4 linked regions of the Caenorhabditis elegans genome follow. The protein of the gene in region 1 purifies or fractionates together with the protein of each later gene. This does not show direct contact. Each region holds a gene or a part of one and is shown in the gene's direction. Other genes may lie near its edges.

Region 1 (9,849 bases):
CAGACAATAGGCGGCAGACTAATCCCAGGACGGGGGAGCACAATTAATGGATTAGCATTTGGGGAGATACGTGACATATTTGGTGACGATTCAAAAATCGCTGGAGGTAGATATTTGATGTTTTTGGAACGATAATGAAACTTGAAATGCATACGGCGACTGATTGGGTTTCTTTCATTTCAGATCGGGGTTTCTTAATACAGGAAAAATATAGAAAACAATTTGAGATAAACAATTCTGATAAGATATTTAATATATCAAACTTTGCGGGGCCTGATCAAATCTGATCATAGACTAAAAATTAAAAAGACTCAGATTTTCTTTTCAAAGGGGAAATAAATATTAATTTTCAGAACAATCTTTCAAAAAAAGTAACTCAACATTTGACTGAAAAACAAACAGTGCTACTGGTGGAACTACATTTTCAGAGAATTTTTGGCAGATGTAATATTTTGTTTTTTAGGATGGTTAGCGGTAGGTAAACATTTTCGAAGCTTTTTGATTTTCATTTATTTCTTTGTTCGACGAAAAAAGTTTGTTTGATCTGGTTGATTGAAAAATATTTCAGTTTCTTTTCAACAATTAAAATTTTCCAAACAGCTTTCAAAATTTTTACCTACCCATAAACAACCTAAAAATGTCAAAATTGCGTTTAAAAAAGCTCTTGGAGCAAATCTACAGGCGCCAAAAAGTGAAAAATGCACTGAAATTCAGATAGGCAATTGTTGAAGTGAAGTTCAAATGGGGCTTGTTTAGTTATATGGGTTAAATTGAAACGTTTCCTTGTTAGAGAATTTTTGAATAGTTGCAATTCATTTTGAAACATCGATTTTTTTGGGTATGTAAAATTTTCATTTAAAAAAAACTACACATTTTTGTGATTTTTGAAATCAAAAATCAAGCAGTGGTTTAAAACACATATTTTTGCAAAATATTAACGATTCCAGATATTCCAAACTTTGGCAACAAGTTGTAGGTCACATGTCAAGTAAACAAAATTCTGATATCATTGTTGCATATGTTTTTCTATTCATATCAATATGACATGCGCACCTGAATATCCGAACATTTCAACTGAACTTTGAGACTTTCTCTCTCAAGTGCTTTGAGAAATGACGCAACGGAAGTTTTCATTCTAAATTATCGAATCTTCACGAGGCAGGGAGGAGACGCCTGTTTTTGAATGTGGAACATCCTTTCTAAATTAGGACGTGTCGTCGGAAGTGCTCGATAATCAGACGACGACGACGAAAAGCAGGAAATTAAAAAATTACTATCGGTCAGCTGAGAGGGCGGTTTAGGGCACGAATTTGAAAGATCAACAGGATACACTGATGTTTCTTAGAATGTGAAAGAGATCAATGAAATGCTCTGAAATTCAATAGAGGGACTTAAAAGACGGTTTGAAAAGAGACTGAGAATTTAGAAAGAAAAAACAACAATTGGTGGGAACCTTTTTTGAACTTCTCATAAATTATAGATAATTGTTTTTGTTCTCCGAAACATTTTTTCTTTAAAGAAAAAAAAACTAAAATCTTTGGGTGAATGTTTGATTTTGATCAGTGATCATAGCAAATTGGAAAACCAAACAATTAAATTATATTTGGTGTTTCTTTTTTCCCCGATTTCTGAGCCGATCCCAGGAAAAATATAATTGGAAAAATAAATATGTGAAACCTATATTTACACATTATTATTGTTTCTTTTGTTGCATTAAATTTGTGAGCTGCCCCCTTCCTGCAATCACATGTCGCCGGATATTCCATATTCAATTTCCGATGGGCTATAGGAGTTCGAAAATCAGAAATTCGAGCCCACGCTCCTCAATTTTAATGTCAAATAGACGAGTTGGCTCCGGAAATGTTCTAAGGTTTTTGAACCTAGTCGCTGGAAATTTTGAACAAGGTTCGGGGAAGAAAACAATAAATTTTGATAAAATGGTCCAAACTAACTGAACTAACTAAACTGAACTGTTTTTGCCAAGTTGGACAAAATTTCAAAAAACGGCAATCTCCAACTTTGTTGTTTGCAGCTCACTCTTGAGTTATAATGTTTTGCGGACAATTTGACACTTTTTTAAGAAATTGAAACAACTCCTATTTTTTTCTCAAGTTTTACAAATGTCTAATAAGGTATTAATTTAAAAAAAAAACTACTAAGGTTTGAAAATCTTAATGAAGAACTTTTTCCAGGGCTTTCCTCAGACCGTCAGATTCAAAGAATTCATAAATAATTGAGGAATTTCTTTCAATAAATAAAACGAATTGTAAATATATACAAATGACGTAAACGGTGCATATAAAATGGGAATAAAAAGATGGATGGATGTGTGTGTGTGTGTTGAGAAACGTAAATTTAATTATCACCGGACCACGCTGTAAGACGGACACCAAAAGAAAGAAATTGGGAATGGCTCTTCTCTTTTCTTCTAAATATAAATTGTAGCAGGAGTTGAAGCAAGATGTTGAAGGAAATAGAGCAAAATTAAAAAGTTCTTGTGTTTGGGTGTACCAGAGAAGATGACCAGTTCAATTGCTTGAATTAAAGTTTCAGGGTCGAAGGTTACTGAACGTCAGGCGGCTCTGCTCAAACATCAGAGTATAAACTTGTTTCTTGGAATAAATACGTGCACAAATATTTTCCAATTTTTTTCTAGGTAAATTTGTGGATCAACAATTCACAAGCAGTCCTTTCTAGACATGACCATCATTTAGAATATCCACGTTTGGGAACTTCGATAAGTGGATAGTGTTCAAAAAAGTGGAGTAATGCCTAGTCTGCGAAGTTTTGGCTTATGAAAAGATATTGGTTCAGAGTTAGTGGGGAGATACGGCTGGGGGTACTGAGTAGTACTGTAGAAGTACTGTATGGTTGCTGTAGGATTACTGTAGTTTGGGCAAAATTGAGTTTTTGTCTTTTTAAGGAATTTTGGGATTGTATGTTGGTGGGGGATAATGAAAGCGCTTAAAATTTGATACCAGTCCCCGAAGACACACAAAAAGTTTATTTTAGGTCAGATATTAATTTTTGAAATTATGAAAACTAAATAAATCTCCCAATAAAAAATGCGGTCGTTTATATGCCTCAAGGTCAGTTTTTTTTATTGAACTGGAAGCTTCTGGCTTCAGAAAAATTTTGTAATTAAATTCTGAAAGCGCTTAAAATTTGAAAGAAGTCCCCGAAGAAACATTTTTAAAAAAGTTAATTTTAAGTCAGATATTGATTTTTGAAATTATGAAAACTAAATAAATTACCCAATAAAAATGCGGTCATTTGTATACATGATGGTAAGTTTTCTTGATTGAACTGGAAGCTTCTGGCACCTAGAAAAATTTTGTAATTAATTTCTGAAAGCGCTTAAAAGTTTCCGCAAATTCTTGTTGATCTGCCAAAAAGTCAAGCTAGAGGTATCTAGATTCACTCTCGTTAATATTAAAGTATCAGTAATATTTTTGGAACAGTTGGTTTTTCGATCGAAACCAACAATAATACTGTTCCAATAATCAAAATCTTTTCATTTTTCAACACCACACTATACCCTTCCATATCTTTTTTGATTTGTATTCGACACTACATCGTACCCTACTTGTCTTATTTTCCTTATCAAATTGACCATTTTCTCTGCCATCGCCCGCACTCACGTTTTCTCAACACATTCCCGATTGGAGATCTTTTTTTTCTGAACTCAAAATTTTCAGAATGACCATCAAAGCGGTAATTTTTGACATGGGAGGAGTTATCCTCCCAGCACCAATGCACTATTGGAAATGTAAGTTTTCATGGAAAAATTATTTGAATTTTCAGATATGCCATTTTATTGCTAGGTTCTGTTAATCAAAATATTTGTTCAAGAATACAATAATTTGAAAAAAATTCTATCACTGAAATTTCAGCCATCGAAAAAACTCACAATCTTCGTGATGGTTCAGTGGTCGAAACAATCATCAGTAAAGATTTCTACCCACATTTCAAACTTTTTGAAACCGGACGGTTGACTTCGGAGGATCTCGATCCACTTTTCACTCATATTTACAATTTTCAGGTTTACAATTTTTTTTTTCTAAAACTGCATTTTTTTAAGCCTGAACCTTGATTTTCAGAATAATCGAGTTGGAGACATTTTGCCAATTTTTGTAGAGGTTAGCAGTCAAATCCAACACACTCCACTTCTCCCGGAGATGGTTGAGCTTATCAAGGTTTGATTTTCATTTTGGCATAACATGGTTCTCCAGACACATCTGTTCATTTCCAGTCTCTTCGTCTTGCCGGCTACCGTACCATCCTCATTACCAACAATTTTTATACGGATCGTGCTAGACTTTTGCCAACAGTTCCATCGCAAGTTGGACTTTTGTTTGATGATGTTCTCGAGTCTTGCCGTCTTGGTCTCCGTAAACCTGACACTAAAATTTATGAATTGGCGCTGGAAAGAAGCAAGGTAGCATTATCACATTTACAAATCTTTCAACTTTTTCGTTTAGCTTCACCCATCCGACTGTGTTTTCCTCGATGATCTGGGGTCAAATCTGAAATCCGCCAAAGAAATGGGAATCACTACAATTAAAGTTGTTAGCAGCCAGCAAGCAATTCATGATCTAGGAAATATTCTCAAGTTGAACTTCTCCTACCCACCGGAAACACGGGATTGCATTCCAAGTAATTAATTTTTATTTCTTTATATCTAACATAAATATTAGTTGCTTCTCTCTTTTTGGCTTTTTTCATAGTTTGCTCATCGTATTTAATTTTAGGAGAAGTTCTCCCAATTGAAAAGATCAATGAATTGATTACCAGAAGAACTGGGACTGATAACAAAGTTGAAACAATCCGCAAATTCCGTCATGGACAGTCAAACCCAACATATTACATCCGAACAGTAAGAGGGTCTCAGTATGTTCTTAGAAAGAAACCAAGTGGAAGTCTTCTACCAAAAGCTCATCAAGTGGATCGAGAGTTCAAAATAATGAATGCTCTTCAGGGACTTGTTCCTCTCCCGAAAACACTTTTGTACGATGAAACGTTAGTTTTGCCAACTTTAAAATTCTAAGCTACAATACATTATTTTTTTAGAACCCTTGACACTTCATTTTATCTTATGGAATATCAAAAAGGAAGAATATTCCTGAAACCATCACTTCCAGAATTGACTCCACCAGAAAGACGTCGTGTGTATGAAGAAGCACTGAAGACGTTAGCAACAATTCATTCGGTTGATTATGAAAAAGTTGGATTACAGGACTTTGGAAGAACAGGTATATTTTAACAATTACATATTATTTTTAGAAAATTCGATTTTTTTTTTCCAAAAATATCAATTAAAGAAGGAAAATTTCCGATTTTTCGTTTTTTAAGCAAAAATCTAAATTGGAAAATTTTTCGTTTTACACTTTTCAAAAAGACTTGAAAAACTGACACCTGTGCATTTTGAAAATTTGATTAAAAAAATACGTTCATTTTGATTAGCATTTCATCAAAATATTTTCAGATGGGTACATGGCCCGTAATCTGAAACGATGGTCAGACTCCTATCAAATGGCGAAAACTGAAGAAATTCAAGAAATGATAAAACTCGAAGCGTACCTAAAAGCAAATCTGCCAAAAAGTGGAAAATCGACTATAGTTCATGGGGATTTCCGTGTGGACAATTTGATTATCGAAGAGAATGAGATCAAAGTGAAAGGAGTTCTCGATTGGGAACTCTCAACAATTGGAGATCCGCTTTCAGATCTTGCAACATTTTTATTTGTATACTATGTTCCAAATAGAATGATACTTCTACCAGGGCTCGGAGATTACAGTGAATCTGATCTTCATAGAATGGGCATTCCAACCATCAAAGAGTGTTTGGAACTTTATGCAAAATACACAAACACGGAAGTTGTTGATCCAGAGCTATGGACTTACTACATGGCGTTTGTTATTTTCCGATTTGCAAGCATTATTCAAGGAGTTTATAAAAGATCTCAGTTGAAGAATGCATCTTCAACTGAAGCTTCTCAGTTGGGACCACTTGTTAGAAAGCTGGCTGCTGAAGGAATGCAAATGATTTCAAAAGTTCATGCATCAAAATCTTACGGTCAACTTACAATTATTCCATCAGGAATGTCTTTGAAAGCTCAAAAATATTACGAAATCGTTCGAGAAATTATACAAAATGATGTGATTCCGTTGGAACAAGAGCTCTTGGAGTATTATGAAGAAGGACCTCACAGATGGACAATTCCTCATCCGAAAATTGAAAAGCTGAAGGAGAAATCAAAATCATTGGGTGCATGGAACCTGTTCATTTCTGAACACATTGATCCTGAACAAAAATACGGAAAAGGCCTGACAAACGTAGAGTATGCACACATCTGTGAGCTTATGGGAAGAAGCATTTTTGCACCAGAAGTATTTAACTGTCAAGCTCCAGATACGGGAAATATGGAAGTTCTCATCAAGTATGGAAGTGAAGAACAAAAGAGCAAGTGGCTCACTCCATTATTGAACGGAGAGATTAAGAGTTGCTTTGCGATGACTGAGCCTGATGTCGCGAGTAGTGATGCCACAAATATCCAGGTAAGGCTTTGGAGCTTTTCAAGCAGGGTCGCGATCGGAAATTTCCGGCAATCGGCAACTTCGGCAATTCCCGGTTCTGGAAATTTTCGGCAATCGGCAATTTCGGCAATATTGCCGGTTTTAGAAATTTTCGGCAATCAGCAATTCTAGCAATTGCCGAAATTGCCAAAAATTCGATTGCCGAACGGCAATTACCGCGCACTCCGGTTTTCAAGTCAGCTTTCTGGCAAAAGGTGCCACCAGTAAGTTGCTAAGATTTTGCCAAGAGTTACCAAGATGTACAATCAGATGTACTTTTTTTGAAGTATGTAAAAGTAGCTACCAAATGTTAAATTATCAGCGTGGATTTCTTGCAAAAAAACTTGGCAACTTGATAAAGAAGGTTTAAAGATGCCTACATGTTGTTGCCACCGTAAAAATTCTAAATTATGCCAGCAAACTTCCAAAATATTTTATTTATTTTTACAGGGTTCCATCGTCCGTGTCGGCAATGAGTACATCATAAATGCCAGAAAATGGTTCATCTCGAATGCTTCACATCCAAAATGTCGAATCGCCATTTTTATGGGACAAGTTTCTGGGGCAAAGCGTTCAAGAAATTTGCAACAATCAATGATTTTAGTGCCAATGCAGACGGAGGGTGTTAAAATTATCAGAAACACTCATGTTTTTGGATCACAGGATGCTCCAGGAGGACATCCAGAGATCACATTCACAAATGTTCGTGTACCAGTTGGGAATATGCTTTTGGGAGAGGGAAAAGGTTTTGAAATCGCGCAGGGAAGACTTGGGCCAGGAAGAATTCATCATGCAATGAGACTTATTGGGCATGCGGAACGGGCAATTGATGTTATAAAAGATAGGTTATTGACAAGAATTGCATTTGGAAGGAAGCTGGTCCAATTTGACAGTTTACGAAAAGAATTGGCTCTTTCAAGATGTGAAGTTGAGCAAGCCAGATTATTAGTATTGAAAGCCGCCCATATGATTGATACAGTTGGACCAAAGGTTTGAACTGAAATATTTATTTTTTTCATTTAAATGTTTTCATTTTAGGAAGCAAAATCTGAAATCGCCATGATCAAAGTTGTTGCTCCAAACATGGCAATAAGCATCCTGGACAGAGCCATGCAGCAGCAAGGAGCTCGAGGACTTACTCCATTTACACCATTGGCTTCCTTTTATGTATGGGCAAGATCTCTTCGAATTGCTGATGGACCAGATGCTGTACACTTGGAGACTATTGCAAAGATTGAGATGAAATCGAGATTGTAAACCTTTGTTTGAATTTGTATTGAAATTGTTTTATAAAGTGTCGTTGTAGTTTTAACTTGTGAATAAATCAAACAAATTTCAATTTTGAAAACTTATTATTGACAAAAATAATTTACAAAGTTTCAATGTCTTATTCTTTCCCAGAAAAGAAAATATTTAGTTTCTTTAAAACAGCCCAATTTTCCTATTATTTTGCATGAAATTTTGCCGCCTTTTCAATTTTCATGTAACAGCTCAAAAAGTCTACATTGTTCAACAAAATACAAGCATGCTAGCCGGCAAATCAGAAAATTTGACCTTTCAAAATTGCCGAAATTGTCGAATTGATACACAGTTTTTATTTCCTAATCGTATATTGTATTTCAAGTGTAAATTTTTAAAATATCATTCTCAAAGTCTCAATATTTATCTTAAAATTTATTCATATTTACAATTCAATGCAATTCAACAATTGAAACTGTCATGTGGAAAATACAATTACTCGTAATAAATATTATAAACGAATGCAATTAATAATAAATTTGATTCGACTCCGGAACAAGAGCTCCAAGGCATGGTGCAACATAATCAGGAACCATATCATCTCTTTCGTTCATTTGATTTTCAATGATATCTTCAATTTGATGACATCCAGATAAAACTAACAAAGTCTTCATTCCGTGATCTCTTCCGAATTTGACATCTGTGTTGGTTCTGAAATAATTCAAAAATTAAATTTAAAAGTTGAATAGAAATTAGATTTACCTGTCTCCAATCATCATTGTTCTTGATGGATTGATATTCCATTTTCTTTTAATATAATTAAATGCTGGAGTACATGGTTTTCCAACAGTCAATGGATCTCTTCCAGATGCACATTTGATTGCTGCAACAATTGGTCCAGCATCAGGAATAACAACTTCTGGATTTGGTCCTGGACATGTTTCATCTTCATTTGTTGCAACAAACAGAACACCTTCTTCTCTTAAATAATTTGAAGCCTTCATCATTTTGACATAATCGAAATGTTTTTCGTATCCAACAACGACTGCTCCAACATTTTCTTCCAATTTAATATCATACATGAATGCACCAGATCCGTCGGCTTCATCTTGTTTCTTTTCTGGTCCATGTCCAAAATATTCAATGCCTAATTCATCCATTTCATCACGAAGTCCTTGTTCTCCTATCAAATAAACTCGTTTTCCATCTAATCCAGCTCTGTGCAAAGTATCAGCAACAACTGCAGCTGGATTCACCAAATTGTTCTTGTTCATTTTTGAAGAGTTGTATCCCAGTTTTGCAAGCTTCTTTGCATAAACTGCACGAGATTTGGTGGCATTATTGGTGAGCACAATGATTTGTTTGTTGTGTTTCACAAGATAATCGATCAGACGAGGAGATCCTGGCATCACTGATTCACCGAGCCACAGGACACCTGAAAGAATTTATAATTAAAAATTGAACTAGATATTCTAGAAAACTAACCATCAGCGTCAAAAATGAATGTGTCAATAGTCTTCATGACCTTAGCGAAGGTATCTGGACAGAGGGGTTTCGTGGAACGGCATTTTGGATCGAGTCCGGCTTCGATACACATTTTTTCCTGATTGAAAAATCATTCTAATGCTGAAATAAGTCAATAAAGTTTTCATTGGACTTCACAGTGCAAAATTCTCACTGTTTTGAAGAAATTTCAGTTCCAGTTGAAAACATTCATCCAAAACCAGGTAATGTGGTCATACTACTTTGAATTGGATTTATTCGAATATCAATGATATTTCAGTATCAAAAAAAATGAAAATTGAAATGTGTGCATTCAAATGTTTATAAACCTTTTCAAAGTTGACGGAATTGACTCAAAATTTGGGAGAAGACGTACTAAATTGTTTAAAAACAGTGTGTCGACTCAAGACAGGCTCCCTCGAAAATGAAGAAGGCGCGGTCAGCGGCTGGTTTATGATATTCCACTTGAATATTGTCATCTTCGAATTCCAAAATCACGTACATCAAGATTTTGTCTCGATCCGTGGATGC
Region 2 (8,346 bases), on another chromosome or scaffold:
CACAAATAATGCAATTCGTTATTTTCTAGAGTATGTTTTCATGGCAACTGAATAGATGAGAAATTGAATTGAAAATGCAATTGGATTAGTTTGCAACTCTAGTTTACTGCCAGAAGATGCGAAGAGTGGGCCAAAACTATGGTAACTTTCTGTTGAAACTTTTTTATACTTTGAAGTCAACGATATTTTTTTCAGTTTAATTGTGAGGTTGACTATTTACTTTTTCAGGAATTTTGAACAATGAAAAAATGGGGTTTCTCCTGTTTTCAGAGAATTGAGTGTTTCATTGTGAATAAAATCCATAAAATTGCTCCCGTTAGTTATTTTATTAATTGCCATATACATTTTATGGAACAATATACTTTGAAATCATGAAAGACCAAAAATTGAAGCAAAAGCAAGCAGAGGTCCACAATCAATGGTCCATAATGAAAAATGGATCTTGCAACAGATTTGATGAAAGGATTTTGTGAACAACTTTCTTGAAAACGTAACAACGTTGAAATGACGAATGAAAAACTTGTTTTGTTTTTTTTCAGAACCAAGTCTCCAAGTTTTTCTGAACGTTACGCAACTTTGATATCATAAAACCTGCAACGATCTGTGAAAAAACCAACATTTGGGAGTTTCTTCTTTTGTACTGAACACACTTTTAACAGTGAATCGAAATAGTTTATTGACTTATAATCAGTTTTTGGTACAGTTCTCAAATTCCATAACACACTTCGGTTGCACATGAACAGCAAAAATGATCGGAACTTGGACTGTTGTGTTCTGAAAATTAGAGTGGCCTCAAAAGTTTATTTTTTCATTTCAGGAGTAGACTATATATCTGAATCTCGAATTAACTTTAATAGATGTGGATTTACATAGTGTTAAATGATACTTTTTAATTTTAAAGAAGTACCCATATTTTTCATTTTCAGTCCATCATAACACTTATCGTAAAATGTAGATCAAATGCAGAATTCAATTAAATCGTAATGTTTTGTCCTCGAATATACTCTTGTTGAGAAGTCAAAATCCAACTAATAACCTTTTACCTCTAAGCTTCTCTTTCTAGTTTCCGCCGGCGTCAACCACATTTTCACCGAGTGATCTGCATCCATCACATCCGTATTTGGAAGATGACCTCCATTAAATTGAATTTCAAACGATTTCTGAAATACACGCTCATAACTTTCACCAGAATAAAACTCAAATACAGTCTCTCCTGGCTCCATTATGCCAACCGGCGGATTCACTTTGAGCAATGGTCCGAAACTAGTCTCCCAACCAAACTTCATTCGTTTTTGAAAACGATTTGCTACTTCCAAAAACATCGTTTGATCGCGAGTATCATCTTCGAATATTATCTGTTACAAAACGAAACATTGAAAGAAAAATATAAATTGTTTATACCATTTGTTGATCACCTTGCGAAAGTGTTGTCATGATGATAGGTTTTGAAAAGAATTAATAAAAAGCATTTATTGTTGTCGTGGAATAATTTTTAAAAAATTCAAAATCCTAATTATGAACGTGAGATTTTTAAAAGTTAGTAAACCGGTTTTAATCTTTTATCCCTGCGATAATCGAACTGACTGACAGAATCAGACATGTGCTCAGCTTGACGGCTTGTTGAGGTTCTGAAAAATAAAGCAGTAGGTGAGATGAATAAAAAATTATTCTTCAATTTGAAACCAATACCTAAAAAAACTTGGCTTACCTCATTGAATAATTTGCACGAGAATCACTATATTGTGTTGATTGAAGTTCATATTTTTCTGGCAATCGTACATCTTTCCGACCATTTGCATTTTTAGAATTTCGATCTGCTCCTGGTTCTCGATGTTCAACTATCCGAAGATGGCCAAGTTCAACGTATCTAAAATTTTGTTTTCACGGCCTTCCAATATGAAAATAAAAACCTGTTAGCATTTCCAATATGTGCATAATTTGATGCATGAATTCCAAAAAATAAAAGAACTCCAAGAATGATGAGAACACATCCAACCCATCCGATGACATACCAAGAGAATGCTGTGGAGGTAAGTGCACAGAATTGTTGCACATCTCCACCGCACATTCGAAGATTCTGAAATAATTCATTTGTTGACTTTAATTTTCTCAAAATGATAAAGTTGTTGTTCATAAACTTTAGGAAGAATACTCAAAAAAATCCCAAATTTTAACATTTCTCCAATTCAACCTACATATGTAAATGTGGAACTTATTAAATTGCTTTCTTTTGAGAATCCTAAAACTTAATACTCACCGAGTTGGCAAAGGACGAAACTAATGGCCAGAAAACATGAAGATCTATACAGTCACCATCTGTATATCCTGGAAGATTCATGCAGAGCCGATCGAAGAAATAATAAAATATACAAAGCCAAGATACAATTGAAATAATGAATAGCCATGCAATTATCTGAAAGTTAGTTTTAAAATTATACGTTTACTGAGCAATTCTTACTAGAAAGAAATCGATCAACATTGCGATGACGCATGCAAATTTTCCACCACAGCGAGCTTCATCGTCTGAAAATATTGTACATAAGTTCTCCTAGATCATTGTCATTTTGAACCTTTATACATAGTTTCTCTTGTTCCTCCAGTTGCAGTAAATCCGATGCATAAGAAGAAAAGTGAGAATAGTCCCATTAAAACTGCGATTACAATAAAGAAAACTTGAACCTTGTCAAGCCATGGCCAATCATTTATTTTCAGAGATCTTCTGACTTGCTCTGCAGTTGCATTAAATGCCCAGGACATCATAATTGCAAAGAGAATAACTCCAAGAATGCATAATAATGATCCAATAAGTGATGCATATGGTATTCGATGAAAACAGTCATCTTCTTCTGCGTCCGCATTCAAATGAACGACGGCGGCGTTCTGCGAACGTCTTTGCGCCGCCTCTTTCGTTGATCTTGACACTATTTTGACAGTTTGAAAAATATTATTTCAGATGAAAAATAAGAAACAAATGTAGCCGTGGAATAATTGTAATAAGCAAGTGCAAGCGGGCACCGGGGCAACAAAAAGGTATGTATGAGTGTGTTTGTTTGTATTGCGATCGAAATTGGAAACGGACGCGGAAAGGTGAGATAGTGGGTTGGGAACAAATTTAAATATTGAGACGCAGACAGCTCGCCACGGATGGTCAGTTTTAGCGGAGGAAAGCAGAAAGAGGAGAAGATGATGGTGAGTCATGTTTGCATGATCTTCGATGAGAATGTCGCAAGGTGCCATTTGAAAGTTGGAACAACTCATGTATGACGCAATTTTACATTTCCTCTGGGTGACTTGTGGTGTTATTTTCAATTTATTGAATCAGTAGGAAACACACACATTTTAAAATGAATGTGCATGCAATTGTGATGTACGATGAGCTGCAATCATGAACATCTGGGAAAAAGAGTTGAAGAATACAAAGGAGTCTGCTGCCGTTTCATTGAACACTTTTCAGCGGCACCTGCCAACCGGATATACATTGAGAATTTTTTTGAAAGTGGAAATATGAATATATACAGGTTACTGTTTTCTGAGAAATGGTTAAATTTTGTTAAAATTATATTCAGGAGTTCTTTTTTTCAAAGAACTTCTTAACTTTTTCATATATGGTGACATGGGTTTATCTATCACACAGCCTGAACGCGGTCTTCACAATTGATTTTTTGAGCATTTTTAGGTGGCATTAACTGTAGATGACCTCGTTTTCATCACCTCTCGCAAGCCCTTTTGAGTTTGAGAAAAGCTTATTGAGACTTATGTACTAATATCAAATATTATTCGCAGTAGAATTTGAGCGCTAAATAAATGAGTTGGTGTTTGTGCTCAGTTTACTTCACAATTTGCAAAAACGAAATACATATAAACACAGACTACACAAACTTGTTTGTCCCCTTTTTTACCAATTTGCTCGCCCTCTTATCTATGTCCTACGGTGTAAATTGGAAAACAGACTATCTTATCATTCTGAAAAACGATTTAACTTTAACATACATGTTACCTCATTTTTCTGCAGCGTTCTTCTTGAAAATGGCACGGTTTTTCCTTTTTTTGGCGTTTGTGGAAGTTAATTCTATTATTTCACCTCCTAATGAAATTATCGAAACATCTGTGGAAGTATTCAATCAGTGGAAAGAAACTAGAAATGCGTTTATGGATTCAATGGGTTAGTTTATTAATCGTTCCATCTAACCCTTCAAGTTCCGTGTTACAGAGTACCCAATGGGCTTTCCAAACTTCAATTGTCCCCAACCTCATCGAAAATCTTCCGAATCTGTACATCAGCTTCATCCATCACAAATTGGAGTGATAGCAGCACTAGGCGATTCTGTGTCAGTTGCACAAGCGGCGAAATCATCGTCAATTCTCGATTTATTTGATCAGTTTCCTGGTGTTTCGTTTGTAACAGGAGATGATGTAAAGCTGAATGAGCAAGCCACCTTTATTAGTAATAATTCGTTTTGACTTTCACTTACTTGCAACAGAAGCTTTTCAGATATTTTCCGTAAATTTGCACCGCGAATAAAAGGAGGATCCTCTGATTTTGTTCAAAAGTTTTACGACTTTAACATGGCGATTCCTGGCTCATTCAGCTCGGAGCTTCCCGAACAAGCGCTCAAATTAGCAAGTACATTGAAGAAAAAGCTGGGTAGAGAAACATCTGATACATGGAAATTCGTTAATATTTTCATCGGTCATAATGACTTGTGTAACATTTGCAATAATGAGGTAAAATAACCATTTCACATCGGAGCTAATTTTCATTTCCATTAAAAAATATTTCAGACTACCTTCGGGCCTGAAACATTTGGAAAGTCACTTCACTCGGCACTTACAATAATTCAAACAAATGTTCCAAAGGTATTCGTTAACATAATGCCACCAATAAATGTCAAAATTCACTCACAAGCTCACAAGTTGAGTAAGTTCTGCGAGTTTTCACATAGGTTTGTTTTTCAAAATTAAAAAAAAAATTAAACATATAATTACAGAAAAACATGCTCGTGTATTTTTGAATTAAATGAAAAAGAATATCAAAACATCAAGAAACAATTCGATGAACAATTGAATGAAGTTGTAGAACAATTCAATCAAAAATATGGAAATTCATCTACATTTGCTGTTGTGATTGCTCCAGCCATGGATCTAAAATCAATTCCGTTACTTAAAAACCAGCCGAATATTGGACTATTGGCACTCGATTGCTTCCATCTTTCTCCAATTGCTCATGATATTGCTGCGAAACAAATTTGGAAAGGATTGTTCGAACCAATTGATCAAAAAACAATCACTAATCAATTATCAGTTGGATTCGATAGATTCGTGTGTCCTCCTGTTGAATGTCCGTACCTAAGAACGATTCAAAACTCTGAAAACTGTGAGCCATCAAGAGAAATGAGATTTCTCCGAGTTCCTTCAGCTTTTGCAAGCTCTCCTGGTTTAAGCATGCCTCCATACATGATTCCTGTATTTTTCCTTTTTGGTGAGTTTGGTCTGGGAAAAAATACGTTGCTTATTTTTTTGTGAGGCGGCTTAGATTAAAAGCAGCTGCTATAATAATCAATAAAACCACTTTTCAAATATTTTCATTGGGAGAAAGTTTCCGTTTTCGCTTTTTCAGAGATAAGAGATATAAAATAAAGGGGCACCAATAAACATATTTTCTCAAAAACGCTAGACGCTAATTGCCTGCCCTCAAGGCACCTACGCCTGCGTCTTGTGTACTACCAAATTTGAACTTTTTCACTTTTGAAGATTATGTAAACATACTATAAGAAAAACGGTTTAAAAATATATCAAAAATACTCTGCACGGTGAAAAAATCTAACACCTGAGTTCAAGCTAAAGTTCAAGAAAAAAGGCATAGATGTAGGCAGGTAGATATTCTGTCACTTATGACTAAAAATATGTCTTAGCATTATTCAACTTTTTATATAAACCGAAAATATTTTGTTCCTAGGTACCGCTCTAATACTCCTATTTGTTCGTGCTTCCATCCGCAGTTCTACGACGTCTTCCGAGTTTTCCGATGAACGACATCATCTACTTCTTCCGCTGCGTGCCGACCTCAATGACAACATTTTCTAAATGGTTTCTAAAATGTACTCATGCCACTTGATGAGACAGTTGCGTGAACGATGAGAACGTCTAGATTTCCACTTTTTATAACAACTACCAGCACCCTTCTTACTCTTCCTAATGATGTCACACCTATGCGGGTTTTATTTCGAATGGCGTAATGCATTCTATCTCACTACATCCATTAATGTTGCCTACTGTATTTATTGTTTTGTGTAGACTACATATCAGTCCCTAGTGTAGTATCATAATGAAATGGCAAAGAGGAAATAAATGGAAGTGTGTCTGTATGTACATATATATCTCCAAAAAGCGATTCATTCAGAAAGAGACAGAATCGAAATTGAGAGAATGAAGAGGAGAAGGAAACCCGATTGTGATTACGTAACCGAGTTTCTTTCAGAATCAATCATAGTGGACAGAGGTGATAAGATAAATTGAGGTAAAAAGATCCGATGGACATGAGAACCAGAGATTTATTATTACGTCATCTAAAGTTCAAAATGGCTTTAAGAAGTTAGGATACTCGATCATAAAATGTTCTTATTAGGTGACACACATTTAGAATAATGAGTCCGATCATATATAGTCAGATATTCTCTTAGTTTTCCTCATGTTTCCATCAACTTTAGTGAAATTTTCCGAAGAAATCAAATCTGAGCCCCTGAAATTTCCATCAGAAACTGTTTCAGTACATTTTTTGCTGAATTCGGTATTGTTAGATTTTATTTTTTTAAATCTTTACAGATCATTTTTCCAAATAGTATGAGATTGTTTTTCTGGAACTCCAAATATTCAATCCTCAGGCTATGCATAGATTTCTAGGTTTGCTAGAGTTGATTGAGAAGTTGCGGCGAATTGTCGAGATTTCAGACCAATTATTAATTTTTCATTCAATACCGAAAAGTCTACGCAGCTTTTCAGTTTTTCTAGAAATTACAAGATCCATTGTTGTGGACTTGTATGTTCATCTAAAAAGACAATGTCAGCCACAGTCGGTCCATTCTATATATCCAATTTATCTACTAAAGGAACTCGTTTTTTTATTTATCTTTTGCTTTTCTTTTTTGCTTCGTCCTTTTTCAAAAGGCTTTTCCTTTCCTGTGGCGGCGGCGGCGGGCGGCCAAAACATCTGTGGCGTCGTGCCCTCGTCGATTGCGCAATGCTTCATCTTCATATCCTCTCAGCTTTTTCTTCATCTTCTGGAGACGGGTTTAGCGGTGTCGCGCCGTTTCGTCACGTTGTGTCGTCAGGGTGTCATGACTCGAGAGAGAAAATGAAAGAGGAAGGCATGTAATTGTTTGTGATGGGATATGCAATTGCCAATCAAAAAGGTTAGCGCCTTGAAAGTGAAAGATGTCTCACCGGAATAACCGCTTCATCTATGTATTCCGTTTATTCAAACTATTTCAAACAAAACAATTGCGAAGGTCATGACCATCAAACTCTTCATCATTGTAATTCAATTGAAATTAAGAAAATTGAAACGAAACTCCCAAACCACAATCAACTAGTAGTGTTCTTGGCAAGTGTGACCATAAAGATGTACAACACCTAGTATATTCTTAATTAACAATCACGGCATCTTTCCCCTTGTCTTTCAAAGCAGCTTCACACCAGTCTCTGTGTCGCCTAGATTATACTAGAAATTACACATTTTGCCCACGCACCGTTACAGAGAGAGAGGCCCGTCGACCTTTTCCAGTGTTCCTCTCCCTCCGCCTTCTCTCTTCCAAAATCTTCTTCACCAGCTTCTCCCGCTCCACGTCTTGGCCACGCCCCATTCGGCTTTAGTTAGCAGTGCTGGGCTGCCCACTAAGATCCGGTCTTGCTAGTCTATACCTTCTTACCTTTCCATTTTCTCTCTATCTACCATTATTATGATCTACCGATTTGTGGCAACTGTTGCCATATTGGCAGCCAACGGTGAGCTCTAAGTTCTATTATAGGTTAATGTAGAAAGTTTAGTTTCAACCCATAGTTTCAGTTATCCACTGAAAACACGAATATATTGCATTTCTAGTACCACTACCATTTTCAAAATTTGAAAATTATATATTGTCTTTCTGTTCCGCACCCCATCACTCAAACTTGAAAGTTTTTTTTCCGTTAGACTTGAAAATATCCGTAATCTTTCTAGAATGAAACTAGAATAACAGATAATGAATTTATGTCAGTTGACAGATTTAAAAAATTCTGATATAGCTGCCACATGGTGCAAGACTCATAGTTAAATACGGTAGCATATTTCCCAAAAACATTACCATCATA
Region 3 (6,732 bases), 5.9 Mb from region 1:
TTTGCAAAGATGAACAAGACACACCTAATCTTTTATATTTTCTAATTTTCCACCTACTCTCTATAAATAATCAATGTCAATATTTACTAGATTTTGACAAAAGAAATTCAAAAAATTCGGGTGCAAAAGTCAACAGGAAGAGAAATCAAAAATAGAGAAAGGTAGTGATAGTTCAAAACGCTTGCTTGCATATGGAAAATCAAGTGAAAGTGTATCTTTTCAATTGGAAAGTCTGAAGACAGCAAGTGTTTTAATACAGGAACACATGTGTACATGCCATAACAGTTTGTTTTAAAAGTTATGAACTTGTAGTTTAAAAATTCGTAGAACTTCTCCAATTAACACGTACACTACTAGAATTTTCATTTTTATTTCGTACACAAATGAAACTCTTGAAGGAGACCGATGGAAAGGTCAAGTTGGTACTTGTCAAACAATGACAGAAGTGTGAAGTGCTGAAAATCGAATTAAGTTCGAGACTATCTCGATCATATGATCAAATGAGAAAGAATCGATGAAATTCAAAATTTATTCAGGTCACAGCTGGAAGTAATGGTTTTAGTACAATTCACAGACATTACACGTAGTGATTAATGATAATTTTAAAACGTCAAGAGTTAAACACATTTGATATCATTTCCTGCGAGCGTATTTTTCACGAATACGGCGTTCTCGTTCAGCTGGAGTCTCAGGTACCGCTTGCTCGTGATAGTTCTGTCCCCGTTTATTGACTACAACATCCTCTTCATGATCTGATGAATCTTCCACGTAGTATCCAGTTCGATTGTTTCTAGCTGTCGTTTTTCCAGCTGCTTCTGACGGATAATAGCTAATACTTTGACCCTTTTGATAGAGTGAGTGACATGGTTGATCCGGTTCGTAGGTACGGTATGAGTCAGGAGCTAGAAAAGGTTTTTTTGAATAGTGAAGAGACTTCTCATTTTTGACTTTTAATTCAAATTTTTCAACTGATTTGAGGATTTCATCTTAAAATCATTTCGTAGTATAAAGTGTTTTCACTACGAATGGTTATCAACTTTCAAACATTTTTAATGAATTATTTGATACATTTTGGAATGCGTGAATTATTATATTTATACAATTCTAGCGGACGAATTCTGTGTTTGAATATTGAAAAATTAAATTACCACGATTATCACGTCTCTCATTTGTCCACTGTCTAGAATCAATAGAAGCGAGTCCGTTGTCATATCGAATACTTCGTTCTACCGTAAGTGTTTCTCTCATCAAAGCAGGATTCACACCAGATCCGTATCTAACTTCAGACATTGGTGGTGGTGGAGAATATGCAGCTCTGTTAGCATCACATTCAGCCTGAAAACAAACTATTTCTATCGGATTTAAATACACTACTCACGTCTGCTAGAACATTATCAATTTGTTGGCGAAACATTGGGTCCGAGCGAAGGCGTTGCTCAATAATTGTTAATGCTTCTGGAGGTATAACACCGTCTCTTTTGATAACTTCTCGTGCCGAAGCGATCTTAAAACGGAGTACTTTTTGATTTATTTTTTATCTGAATTCTCACTTTACTAGCTGGCTTCTGCTGTCTTGATTGACGAGGACTCTCATGAAAATTTTCTTTGTCTTTTTCAACTGGTTCGATCGCTTGCTGTTTAGGAATCGTTATCTCTGAAAAATTATTATTTATTGAATTTATGGGATAATATATATTCAAACATACTCTGAAAGAAGTTTGACATCAATTCTTGCATTTTAACAAGATTTTGAGCATTGAGCTCTTCTTGTCGCCGGGCCGTTTCTTCTTGAATCTCTGTTCGTATCGTTTGCAGTTCTGTTTTCATAGCGTCCCGCCAGTTTTCAGCTGCCTGTTCTTCAGTCGTTGTCGTATTTTGGGCAGACATTGTTGAAGCAAGCACTTTTTTTGAATTCCGAGATGTTCCCTGAAAGATAATTTAGTGGAATTATGCCATGGAACAATTTTAATTTAATTACCTCGACAGTTTGGGAAACGTTAACTGTTTTTCCAAACGCAACTGTTTTTTGGCGAAGCGCTGGATGCGAAGGTGGCTCTTTTCTTGGTTTCGGAGCCGAAAGACACGATTTTTTCTTGGCTACTTCTACAGCGGCGACAATTGGCTGCGTAGATGGTACTGGGGGTTTTGTCCTTTCTTGTGGAAGCTGAAGAACTTCTTGAAAGGCAGGGACTTCAGAATCTTCGAAGACTCTCGGTTGATCCACAAACTCCTGGACTAAATTGGCAATTTTAACACTTTTATATCGAAAACAACTCACCAGTTGGTTTTTTGAAGTAAATAGAGCAGGGTAAGTCGTCGTAATTATTCATTCCCGCTTAATGCGAGGTCATTTCTGTTAAAACTATGAAATTGGAAAATAAAACGTTTTTTCTTTAAAATTGGCGCGTTGGTGTCGCGGGGGCGTGGCCTCTGCTGCAACCCCCGCGCACATTTTTTGCAAGATGAGCGCGCACATTGTATATTTTCTCACATTTCTTTTCGCATGACCATTCGGGGACGAAAGAAGATTGTAATTAAATTAAATGATATTATTATAAAACAACAGAATTTTCTACTTTCTCATATTATCTGCAATTTAGAAGAATGTTCCTGATCAGTTGAACAAATTTAGATTGACAGATTTTCAAACAAAAAATCTTCTCAACCTACACAATTTTCCAATGTATTAAAAGTATTAAAAAACAAGTAAACACTCCCGACTGGTTTTCTAAAAATTCCGAGAAAATTTTTCCTCTGTACACAGATAGACAGCGAGACACAGAAAAAGTGTCTCAAAATAAATCAGCGTGGTAAAAAAGTCAGTGCGAAGGAGCCAACAGTATATGTACATTATACACACAATGTTTGCTCCGTGGGGTCAGATCAAAACTGGAATTTGGATTTGACTGTTGGTGGTGTTGCACGGTAGCAAGAGCTTACACGATTGCCAGTACAATAGTTTAAAGGGGCGGGAATCTCGATGGCCTATTTAAAAGAAATCCAGAACTCGAGTACAACATTTTCACGTGGCAAAACTAAAATGGCACTTAGATTGGCTGTGGTGAGTTTTAAAATCCTTTTAATTATGAGGTTTGAAACTTAGTTAAATTAAAAACTACTAAATCCAGAAATAGATCTACTTTAGATCTACATACGACTTTCAGTTAATTTAAATGTAATTATTATTTAGATTCTCTCCCTATTGTCTTTCACTGCGGCTCAATCGACTTCTGTTGACTGTTTTGCTGCACGGGACTCTGGAAATACTTGCGCTGAGAACAGTTCTTCTAGAATGTTCTATTATCTTCCAAGACTTGGAACGTGTCAACCATTCATGTATCAGGGATGTGGTGGTAATAGTAACCGGTTCAGTAGTGCACAAGAGTGTAGATCAGCTTGTACCAATGCTCAAGCTCAAAGAGACTCGGAGTCAAGTGATGAAACCGTTCAAATGAAGTGTAAGTGAGGTTAGCTAGTAACTATGGCAATTATTCTAAAAATTTTAAGCTGCTTGCTCTGCTACCTATGACACTGACCACTTGACACCAGTGAGATGCTCAGCAGGAGCTAATACTTGCCCACAGGGTCATAACTGTATTCAATCATTCTGTTGTCCAACATCCAGTAAGCATCAAATGTTTAAATGTTTTATTCTTAAATTTCAAATTCACAGACTATCTTTGCAACTTGACATATGACTCTGGAAAGTTTGCTGTCGGAGGAGAGAAAAGTGACAAATACTTCTGGGTTCCAAAATACACAACTTGCATGCGTTTCTCATTCTATGGAACTCTCGGAAATGCCAACAACTTCCCCAACTACAACTCATGTATGGCAACCTGTGGAAATCAAACAAGAACTTCCCAATAAGACGATATTTGAATTCCTGGAATTATCTGTATTATGAAAAACAAGTTATTTTTAAGAGTTGGCATTTTTGTAGTTTTTTTTCGGGTAATTTTCAAAGTATGATTTAACTGTATTATCATCCACTCATAAACAATTTTTATCTCATTTCTTTTAAATATTTTTTATATAATCTAAAAAATAATTTTGAATGTGATGCAAAAATAATAATTTATATACATTAAGGCAACGTTTTTCCTTTTGGGAACTACAAAACTTCAGTTATATTTATCCTGTAATTTGTCTCCATGTCAAGAGTATGGTTTTCAATCAAAGTACAACCAGGTTCGTTTATTATTCAGCCCTAGTTTAAAGTAAAATCTATCACTAAAAATAATACCCCATTTTCTCTAATAGTATTGCGACCCACACCTATAATATCAAACTCACATCTATAACCAGTAAAAAATTTTACAGAAAAATATCTATAGAAATACTTCCTTTTTTCTCTTTATCTGAACCTCGTTTGCAAACTCAACACGGAAGTAACTAGAACCAATTGCATCCATTTTGACATACTCTAAACAACAAAAAACACCGTTTCACAACAATTTTTTATCTTTCTGTCCAATCCTTCCACTTCCTGAATGAAACAGAAACAATCATCAAATCCAAAGATAACAAGAACACATTAGATCAATTGAACATTTTGCAAGCAATCGGAACAAATGTTTTTATAATTGTGGGGGATCATGCTGTAACTGAGCTTTGTGGTATAATAATCCATACATTTCTGTCACGTTTTTTAAACTGACAAGAAAAAGGTTTTTAGTTTTTTTTTTAAACGAGATATGTGTCATTTGAAAGTGTTCCATAAGGATATGTCACTGCAAATTTTTAAGCGGCAAAGCTCCACTCTCAACCCCTCTAGCATCAGTCTGAAACTGTTCCAGTGCATTTTTTCACTACTTTGGAGGCCTGTAGAATTGCTCCAAAATTTTTTTTTGCAAACTTTCAATGTTTTTCAGAACGTTTACAAGTAGGCAAACAATCTGGGAGATTTTTGAAAAATTTTAATTTTTTTGAAAAAAATCTGAAAACTCGGACCGAGTGGTGAGAAATGTAGTCACACGGCCGGAACAATGAATTTCTTACAATTAGCAGAAAAGTAGATGTAGGTTGCTTTCCGGACGAGCTACGCCTGCTTCGGTGACAGGTCCCTGGAAGGTGCCTACTTTTTAAATGCAAATAGTACTTCAAAAACAGTAAAAATATTTTTTCAACTTAAAAAATTATTGTAAAAGCGTATCAATTACTCAGGTTACAATTCACTAGAAAAATGGATTTTAAGAAGTCTATTCGGAGCTAACTGAAACTAAATGTTGTGTATTGAGCGAGTGACAAGGAGAGAAGAAGTTTATTACAAGAGAGTGTAAGAAGTAATGAATTATAAAGAGAGGTCGCTTAGGCGATAAGTTCATGATGACCCAAAGGTCACGTCTGTATAAAGTTCAGGTTTACGTTCCGTCCACAACATCTCCCCTCTTATATGACAAAAAGCCAGAAATTATGCCTGGGCTAGGGGCATCACGACCAGAGGCGGTATATCGACCTCTGCGGCGAGTGGAGGCATGATCAGTGTTTGGGGCTGATCCTCGCACAACTTGTCGTGGGTGGCTCTGTCGAAGAGAATGACTAAGGAGAATACCGGGTTGGAAACGCTCGCCGTCACTCGCAACATCGGATTCCAGCAGGGGGTCCAGATGGGTTTCTTTTATTGGCGAACTTCCAGCAGTATCCTGATCGCCACTGTTGTGTATTGAGCGAGTGACAAGGAGAGAAGAAGTTTATTACAAGAGAGTGTAAGAAGTAATGAATTATAAAGAGAGGTCGCTTACGCGATAAGTTCATGATGACCCAAAGGTCACGTCTGTATAAAGTTCAGGTTTACGTTCCGTCCACAACATCTCCCCTCTTATATGACAAAAAGCCAGAAATTATGCCTGGGCTAGGGGCATCACGACCAGAGGCGGTATATCGACCTCTGCGGCGAGTGGAGGCATGATCAGTGTTTGGGGCTGATCCTCGCACAACTTGTCGTGGGTGGCTCTGTCGAAGAGAATGACTAAGGAGAATACCGGGTTGGAAACGCTCGCCGTCACTCGCAACATCGGATTCCAGCAGGGGGTCCAGATGGGTTTCTTTTATTGGCGAACTTCCAGCAGTATCCTGATCGCCACTGTTGTGTATTGAGCGAGTGACAAGGAGAGAAGAAGTTTATTACAAGAGAGTGTAAGAAGTAATGAATTATAAAGAGAGGTCGCTTACGCGATAAGTTCATGATGACCCAAAGGTCACGTCTGTATAAAGTTCAGGTTTACGTTCCGTCCACAACACTAAAATTTTTGAGACGAATATCATTAAATCTTCATTGAATTAGTGAAATGAATATTCCTTTTTCGTTTTTTTTTAAGTTTTTTTACATCGATCAGCAACATCAGGTCAAATTTTAATGTTGATCTATCCCAACCCACTTTTGTGATGCCATTGTGAGTCAGAACTCTAATTCCACGTTTCATTGATGTTGATCTAATTTTCTTCTTTTCTTTTCTCAACAGAAAATTGAAAACATTGAACACGAGTAACCACTGAACTCTTCGGGAAAAAGAAAGAAAAAAGAAGTTAGGAGAGTTATTGTTTGGGTACGCGAGAACTGTGTCTCTGTCGAAGTAAATATAAAAAGAGAGACCGAGCACCATCAGAGCTCTCACCTAACTTTGCCAACTCTACCTTTTCCCATTTTCTTTTCATCATGTTATATTCTTGGCAAGGAACGAAAATGTTTTCTGTTACACTGTTAGTGGTTTCATGCGGCATTTTGGCAGC
Region 4 (7,253 bases), on another chromosome or scaffold:
TGGAATTTCCAATTTACTCTTGAGCACTTTCTCAAATTTTTCAAAAAAATTCTTCCGGCAAATCGGCAAATCGGCAGTTTGCCGAAAATGAAAATTTCCGGCAAGTCGTTAAACTGTGAAACTGCCGGAATTGAATATTTCCGGCAAATCGGTAAACCGTGGAATTGCCGTAATTGAAAATTGCCGGTTGGTGGAATTGAAATTCCTGGAAAACCGGCAAGTTGCCGGAATTAAAAATCTCCGGCAAATCGGCAAACCTTCAATTTACTGATTTGCCGAATTTGTCGACAAAAAAATTCCCGAACGGCAATTGCCGCTAACCATAATTTTTGGTGGAAAATGTTGGAGCAACATGGTGCAATAGACCAGTTTGTAAAATTGCCAAAAATAATTGCCGCCCTGCTACAAATAATATTCGATTTGAATGAATTTATAAGCTAAAATAAAATAAACTTTTCCTCGAGGAGTACACAAGCTCCGTAAATCGACACATCATTATTCTAGGTGCTTGCGGTGATGGTCAGTGATCGTTGGAAGACTGGGGACGAGATTTTCATCGATCGAGATCCTAAACACTTTGGGAAAGTTCTCAATTATCTCCGTGACGGGGATCATTTTGTGGCGCCATCGGACACAGAAGCCTGCGATGAGCTGAAGAGAGAAGCTCATGTAAGTCGTCGTGGCGAAACCCAAACTTTTTTTCAAAAAATGGAAACATTCAGTTCTACAACATGCCGTTCCTCGCCGAAATGTGTATGCCGATGAATGTCGACGTGGCGGATGTTGTTCAGTGGAAGCGTGACGCGATTGAAATCTATTGGCGCCCGTTTGTCCGTTATATGGTTGATGATTCGCTGTCACTTCCGTTTATTTATGATAGGTAGGTAGGCAGGTAGGTAGGTCTTCTTCAAGATAAATAGATCTGCAAATCAAAATTTCAAGACACTTCCAAACTTCCGTAAAGCATTAAGTCTCTGATTTTCCAGAAACAACCACACCCTTGCCCGTTGCATAGCATGTGAAGAATTCCAAGATCCAAAATGCTCCTACCTTTTCGACATCAACTACACTGCGTGGGAACCGATGCGACATCACATGTATAATATGACGGGAGAAGTCACCCAGGTACGAGGATTATGACGTTTTACATAGATTGGGGGGATATGGCAAGTAATAAATATTTTATTGGCGGTGGTGGCCAGGAGCTGAATAGAGAATGAGATTGTTGAATTGCAGTTGATGGGCGAAAACTGCTGCATTGTTGCCTGGGACAATGGTCAACAGATTCATTTGCCAAAGTCTGCGCTCAGTAAGGTTCCAGGAATGCTGCATCAGTGATCAAGAAGAAGATACTCGAAAATATAATGATTCCAAAAAATAAATAAATTATTTATATATTTCTAATTTTGCATTGAAGTTTAGGCTTGGGCTAAGACATAGGTTAGGGTCAGGCTTGAGCTAAGGCTTAGGCTTAGGCTTAGGTTCAGGCTCAAACTCAAGCTTGAGCTTATTCTCGAGCATTTGAAACATTGTTCGTGTCGAAACCAGGTTCCGTGTTGCTTCTGAAACTTTGATGTTCAAAAAATTCTGAAAAATATAAAAGTTGCAAAAATATTACATTCAATTTGTAAAAAAATTAATTTCTGAAATTTCAAAAAAAAAAGAACTGAAAGTTTATGTTTCTGGAAATTTCAAAATTTTTAATCCAAAATTTTTAGAATTTCAGAACTATTTCTTGAATGTTGTTTTTTTCGGAATTTTCAAATTTCTAGAAAATTTAAATACTTCTGAAACTGTAGTTTTTTGAATTTTCAGAATATAATGAATATCAGAGGTTTTGAATTGTTAGTTGTTTTTAGATACTGAAATAATTTTTGGCGATTTTCGGCTTTCAGAATTTTCAGAATATTTTGATTATTTGAGGTTCTGAATTGTTGGTTTTTTGAAAGATTTTTCCATGAAACTTTTTTGCGATTTTCTGCAAAAATTCCCACGAAAAATCTCAAAACTGGAAGGTATAAATGCGGTGACAAATATTAAAAAAAAACAATTCTCTGATTCCGTACAATTTTGCAAAAATTTCCAGCAAAGCGACAGGTATCTTCTGATCTCATTCACTTCAAGTTAACGTCTATATTCTTTTCAACTCAGCGGGCTCAAGTCCTCTTGTGTCTTTTATAATTACATGTAGCATTAGGTTTCCACAACGACCACGTCTCCGTGCTCTTTTTGAAACACCCATAATTTACATTCCATCAGACAGCTCGATTCTGATTGAAGTTTTCACTTTTTTCGAAATTTATGTATTGCTCCCCCCGGGTTACAAGCATATGTATAGTCGATTTTGAAACGATTTTGTTTCACTGAAAGTTTAAAAAAATGTTTTTTGAAACCTAGAAAAATGTGTTTTTTATTATATTTTCCCCAGAGTTGCATTTCTTTCTAGCAAATTAGAATGCCCAGAGTAGTTCAAAAAAATGTTTTGCCCCTTGTCTTTGTGATATCTTTTTCCGTACCTTCCTCCAAACTTCTCACCACAACCATTATATGGGCGGAGCCTAATAAACCCCTCCTGTTTCACAATTCAAATTTCCAGGTACATCATGTCATCAAAAGAGCTCTATAGACTCAAAACTTTCGACGATCACTATTTCGAAATGTCCACCGAATCAATCGGAGATCCTCTCCCAGATGGCAAGCCAAGTCCAACAGGGAAAAGCTTCCAACTATGTGATACCAGTTCCGAACGTCAAAGGAATTACCATGAAGATGGTTGTCACCTGGTGCATCCGTCATCGAGTCGAAGTTCCGAGCACTTCTACGTGGGAAGTTGACTATGTTAAATCATTGGATCGAGAGGAACTGAAAGATGCGATATGGGCCGCCAAGTATCTTCGAATGCCAATTCTTATTAATATTACTAGTTCTGAACTGTTTTTGCGAGCCGAAAATACACCGGTAGAGAGGTTAGATGAAGTGTATCCGATGCCGCACTGTGTAGGCAGAGCTCCGGAGAGAAGCACCAAAATCACCATTCACAAATTCAAATAAACTTGGATACAATTATTTTTGTTTTCTTTTAGTACTCAGTTCATAAATATATTAAAGTGGGATCCATCTTCGTTTTTTAGTGATTTTACAAAAGTTTTATAGTAGAAAAAAACAGAAAATAAACTGTTGCGTTCAATGCTGAAACATTTTTCAATGTTTGAAATGATAATTTTATTCGAGATTTCCAATGAATAAATAACTTTTCATAGAAGGTAGTTTTGGGAAAAAAAATTGGAAATTTTCGCGTCCAGAAAGTATGGAGTCCTATCAATGACTGAAAATATAAAATACTCTATAAGAATAAGAAATTGATATGTTAATAATCAGAAAAATACAATAATTAAAAAAATTCATAGAATCAAGTGAATTATTAACCAAAACTTTAATTCTATGCCATTTCAATTGCTGTTCATCGCGTGTATCGAATTCATTGACTTGCTTTGAACCAACAAATCAATCAATGCCCTCAACATTTTTCTCAATATTATTAAACATGTTGGCTTCAGAAAAAAGTGCTCTTTCATCTCCCTCCGCCTACTCATCTCTCCATCTCTGCCCCTCAAATCTCTCAGCTTCCGTCACCTGTTACTGACGGAATTGATCAGTGAGAAGCTCTTCGAGCGTTTTCATTACATATGTTCAGCCATCTTATTAGTTCTAAAAGGTTAGTTTCAGAATGGTTTTGGCTCCGTTTTTCGAGAAAGCTCCATCGCTTATCATTGCTCCAGACGGATCAGTTCTGTTCGAATGCATCTGTAATGCGAATCCACAACCAACAGTTAAATGGTAAAAGATTTTGGTTTATGAACCCCTAACCTTAACTACTGTAGGTTTTTGAAAGACAAAGAGCTGACTGGTGATCGTTACGTGTCAAAGATCAAGAAGATGGTTGGCAAGTTCACAGTTACACTGCATATCAAGGTAAGTAAGATTTTTGTAATACTGATAAACTGATCGGGATTCTAGATTAAGAAGAGAATAAGAAGAAAGGAACGGATAGAACACTTGATCTGGTTTTTAGAGGGAAACTTAAATTGTAAGAACATGGTGTAATATTGACCTTCGAAACACTTGCCTCGAGATTTTGTTTCACATTTATTTTAAAGTAAAAAACTTCAGAAACAATTTATTGACCTAGAAAATGTCGGCCATTCTTTTAAAAACCGTTCCTGGAAAGTTTGGGATGGTCTCCGGCAGGAACAAAAATTGAAAATAGGCTATACAATTTCGGAAAGTTTTTTTTTTCATTTATCGGAATCGAACATATATTTAAGGGCTGTGCGGTATTTTTTCGGCAAACCCACAATAATGTTTATTTCAAAATGATAATCCAACTTTTTTCATGCAAAATTAACATAGAAACGTAGAGAAAGGTTTGTTCTATCTGGAAAAAATACAAATTTTTTTGAAAAGTTTGAAAAAAAAGTTCAAATAGTGTCTGAAAGTTGTCGTTTGTCTAAACACTTTTAACGGCACTTTTTTGGCAAACGTCAACTTTCATGCACTATTTTTGATTTTTTAAAATTTTCCAACAAAAATAAATATGCACCATAACTGGCTAGATTCACCGTCGATGCACCATATCAAGTTAGATGCACCGTAACTGGTCAAATGTACCATAACTAGTTAAATGCACCATAACTGGTTAGATTCACCGTAACTGGTCAAATGTACCATAACTTGTCAGATGCACCATAACTGGGTAGATTCACCATCGATCATCAGCATAATTCACATACAATTTTTTTGAAATTCAGCTCAAAAATGAAGCTTGATGATGAAAATTAGGCAATGGGAATATTCATACTTTTTGAAAATAAAATTACTTTATATTAAAAATTTCAAAAAGTTGCTAAAAAATTGCCTCAATGCCGTAACACCCATCGGCATACTCACTTGGCACATTTTAAATCAAATGCCAATTTTGATCACTTTTTCATAATCTTCACTAAAATAACGCTATCTTCTAAAAGTACAAATACTTCTCTATATTTTCATATGAATTTCCAGAAATGAGCATTCTAGATAAGTTAATAACAAAGAAAATGTTTCCAGAACCCTACCCAAGAGGACCAAGGAGTTTACAAAGTGACTGCTACAAACACCCATGGCTCACACTCCGTTGAGCAGCAGTACATCTACAAATGCACTGGAAAAGAGGTTTTCAAGACTCTTGACTAAATTCTGCTAGATTTCTTTAATATTTCTTCCAATAAACTTTTCCGTCGCTATACTGTATCTTAATATCACTCGTAGAAGAAACAACGTGGTTATCATGTGATAAGAAGGTCAGAAATAGAGAGAAAAGATGTCAAAAATACTAGGAATTTTGAGTGTAGAGTTCAGAAAAACAGATTGAACAAAAAACGAAGTATACCCGATCAGGGAGATCGGTTTTTGGAAGGAAATAAAAATGATCACATGTGCAGAATAGTAAAAATGTTGATTGAGAAAATTTTGTTGGCGACATGTTGGAGTCAGATCTGTTCGAGAGTTCAAGTTGATAAGAATTCTAGTTTAAAAGTTTAGACTTTTGGTTTGGACATCTGAACTACAGGCTGATAGTTTAAACTGTAGGTACAGAATAGTATGAAAACCGTACGAGCAAACTTTGATGTCAATTTCCTTTGGTAAACATTCAGAATCAAAGATGGGAATGTTTGAAGACTTTTATGAAGTGTGCCAAATATAAAAGTACAATTTTTCAAAAAAAAAAAAAATTGAAAATTTTAATTTTGCGGCAAAAAGTGGCGCTAATTTTGTCGCCTAAAGTCTGAACAATGGCCAACTTTTCTATTAATTCATTGCATATTATTATTTGAAAGTTTTGAACTTGCGGCATTGCTACAAATTTCATATTAAGCTCAATTCTATGTAGTTGAAAATTTGACAATTTGCCAAAACTTTGTCATTAGGGGGAAAATGTAGAAAACTACTTTTCTGGTGTCAAAATGACCGAATATCATAAAAAACGGTTGGATATTTTTTGAACATTTATTGAATTTTTAAAATTTAATGTCAAAAATTAATCAGTTTTTGCCACTCATAATTTTAGAAGTCGACCAAAAAAAATGTTCTCTACATTTTTTACACTGTAGTTTTGTTTTAATTATTTTTATTAAAATATTGTAGGGGTCGGAAAATGCGACATTATTCTGGATTTCCTTAAAAGCACATATTTTTCAAAATTTTGGCAATTTGCCAAAACTTTGACCGGAAAGCATGAAAAATCTAAAAACTTAGTGTTTTCATATGATATCAGATCGTCTTGAATCATTATAGTTTTTAAGACATTTCTAATAATTAGATTTTTCAAAATTTTCAGTTAAAATTTTGGTAAGTTACCCAAAAAAAATGTAGGCTTTTTTTTTTAGTAATTTAGAGTATTTTGCAAATTTGAACCACTGTAATCTACACACAATTCAACCATAATTGAAGTGTAAATGTTGTGGAAACAATAATTATTTTTGATTAACCTCTAGGTTTACATAGATTAGGCGAAAACTGGAAAACGAAATTTCAATTTTTATAAGAAAAATTTTACATTTTATCACTAGACAAGCGGTATCAAACAATTGGATCAAATGAATAGCTACATTAAGAAATATAAAATTAGACCTAAATCATAACTATCAGTTGAATCTAGCTTTCCCATATAGGCGAAAAACCTACCTCAAGGCCTACAAGGCAGGCGTAACTTGTGTTGAAAATGCCTACAGACAGAACGCGTATTAAAAACATAAAAATTGATTTTTTTTAAATGAATATAACACAAAAGTCAATAAACATTGAAGACTGCACAAAAAATTGTTTACCAAGTTTGATATTATCAACTTTGTCAGTCTCAGCGCTCCTACAAAATTCCATCACAGTATTATCAAAAGGTATTTCAATAAAAAAAAACCGTACTCCAAATTTCACTGTATCCATCACACTCCTCACTATTTTTACTACCACTCATAAAATCAGATGACTACTACTACTACTATCAACAATGGTGGCGGCAGTTAAGGAACCAAAAAAAAGTTGAAGTAAAGCACGGACATCTCTGTGTGCAGAAGATTCCAATCAAAACCGTATAACCGAAACCATATCCTTTATTCTCACAGTGTCTGCGTCTCACCGCTTCCGTCTTTTCCATATCTCAATTTCCCTATTTGATTTATGACCGTTTCGCGCGAAATCTTGTCTGCCACGCCATA

What was found.
Region 2: the proteins of acds-10 (region 1) and F13H8.11 fractionate together in Caenorhabditis elegans (co-fractionation; one large-scale study listed by BioGRID). This does not show direct contact.
Region 3: the proteins of acds-10 (region 1) and piit-1 fractionate together in Caenorhabditis elegans (co-fractionation; one large-scale study listed by BioGRID). This does not show direct contact.
Region 4: the proteins of acds-10 (region 1) and oig-2 fractionate together in Caenorhabditis elegans (co-fractionation; one large-scale study listed by BioGRID). This does not show direct contact.

Annotation. Positions count from the first base shown.
Region 1 is NC_003283.11:5,744,121-5,753,969, forward strand, and holds acds-10 (Acyl-CoA dehydrogenase family member 11), read left to right. Parts: upstream 1-3,698; 5' UTR 3,699-3,699; coding exon 3,700-3,769; intron 3,770-3,893; coding exon 3,894-4,042; intron 4,043-4,100; coding exon 4,101-4,196; intron 4,197-4,252; coding exon 4,253-4,438; intron 4,439-4,481; coding exon 4,482-4,656; intron 4,657-4,751; coding exon 4,752-5,019; intron 5,020-5,070; coding exon 5,071-5,252; intron 5,253-5,485; coding exon 5,486-6,558; intron 6,559-7,026; coding exon 7,027-7,566; intron 7,567-7,614; coding exon 7,615-7,833; 3' UTR 7,834-7,913; downstream 7,914-9,849. Other genes in the region: pgph-1 (Phosphoglycolate phosphatase), read right to left, coding at 8,343-8,526, 8,578-9,250, 9,301-9,412.
Region 2 is NC_003280.10:6,255,636-6,263,981, reverse strand, and holds F13H8.11 (Lipase_GDSL domain-containing protein), read left to right. Parts: upstream 1-3,960; 5' UTR 3,961-4,026; coding exon 4,027-4,162; intron 4,163-4,210; coding exon 4,211-4,444; intron 4,445-4,492; coding exon 4,493-4,725; intron 4,726-4,782; coding exon 4,783-4,943; intron 4,944-4,988; coding exon 4,989-5,479; intron 5,480-5,956; coding exon 5,957-6,084; 3' UTR 6,085-6,369; downstream 6,370-8,346. Other genes in the region: F13H8.12 (MSP domain-containing protein), read right to left, coding at 688-774, 1,044-1,160, 1,206-1,355, 1,402-1,434; nmgp-1 (Neuronal Membrane GlycoProtein), read right to left, coding at 1,538-1,628, 1,709-1,867, 1,911-2,077, 2,258-2,413, 2,459-2,523, 2,571-2,760; dbd-5 (uncharacterized protein), read left to right, coding at 7,956-8,001.
Region 3 is NC_003283.11:11,606,377-11,613,108, reverse strand, and holds piit-1 (BPTI/Kunitz inhibitor domain-containing protein), read left to right. Parts: upstream 1-2,959; 5' UTR 2,960-3,040; coding exon 3,041-3,061; intron 3,062-3,190; coding exon 3,191-3,458; intron 3,459-3,507; coding exon 3,508-3,624; intron 3,625-3,673; coding exon 3,674-3,870; 3' UTR 3,871-4,013; downstream 4,014-6,732. Other genes in the region: sas-5 (Spindle assembly abnormal protein 5), read right to left, coding at 634-902, 1,149-1,335, 1,379-1,504, 1,551-1,654, 1,707-1,926, 1,979-2,235, 2,279-2,330; idpp-16 (Prion-like-(Q/N-rich)-domain-bearing protein), read left to right, coding at 6,686-6,732.
Region 4 is NC_003280.10:13,004,638-13,011,890, reverse strand, and holds oig-2 (Ig-like domain-containing protein), read left to right. Parts: upstream 1-3,726; 5' UTR 3,727-3,727; coding exon 3,728-3,837; intron 3,838-3,881; coding exon 3,882-3,972; intron 3,973-5,106; coding exon 5,107-5,232; 3' UTR 5,233-5,278; downstream 5,279-7,253. Other genes in the region: F18A11.5 (BTB domain-containing protein), read left to right, coding at 505-669, 723-880, 987-1,125, 1,237-1,338.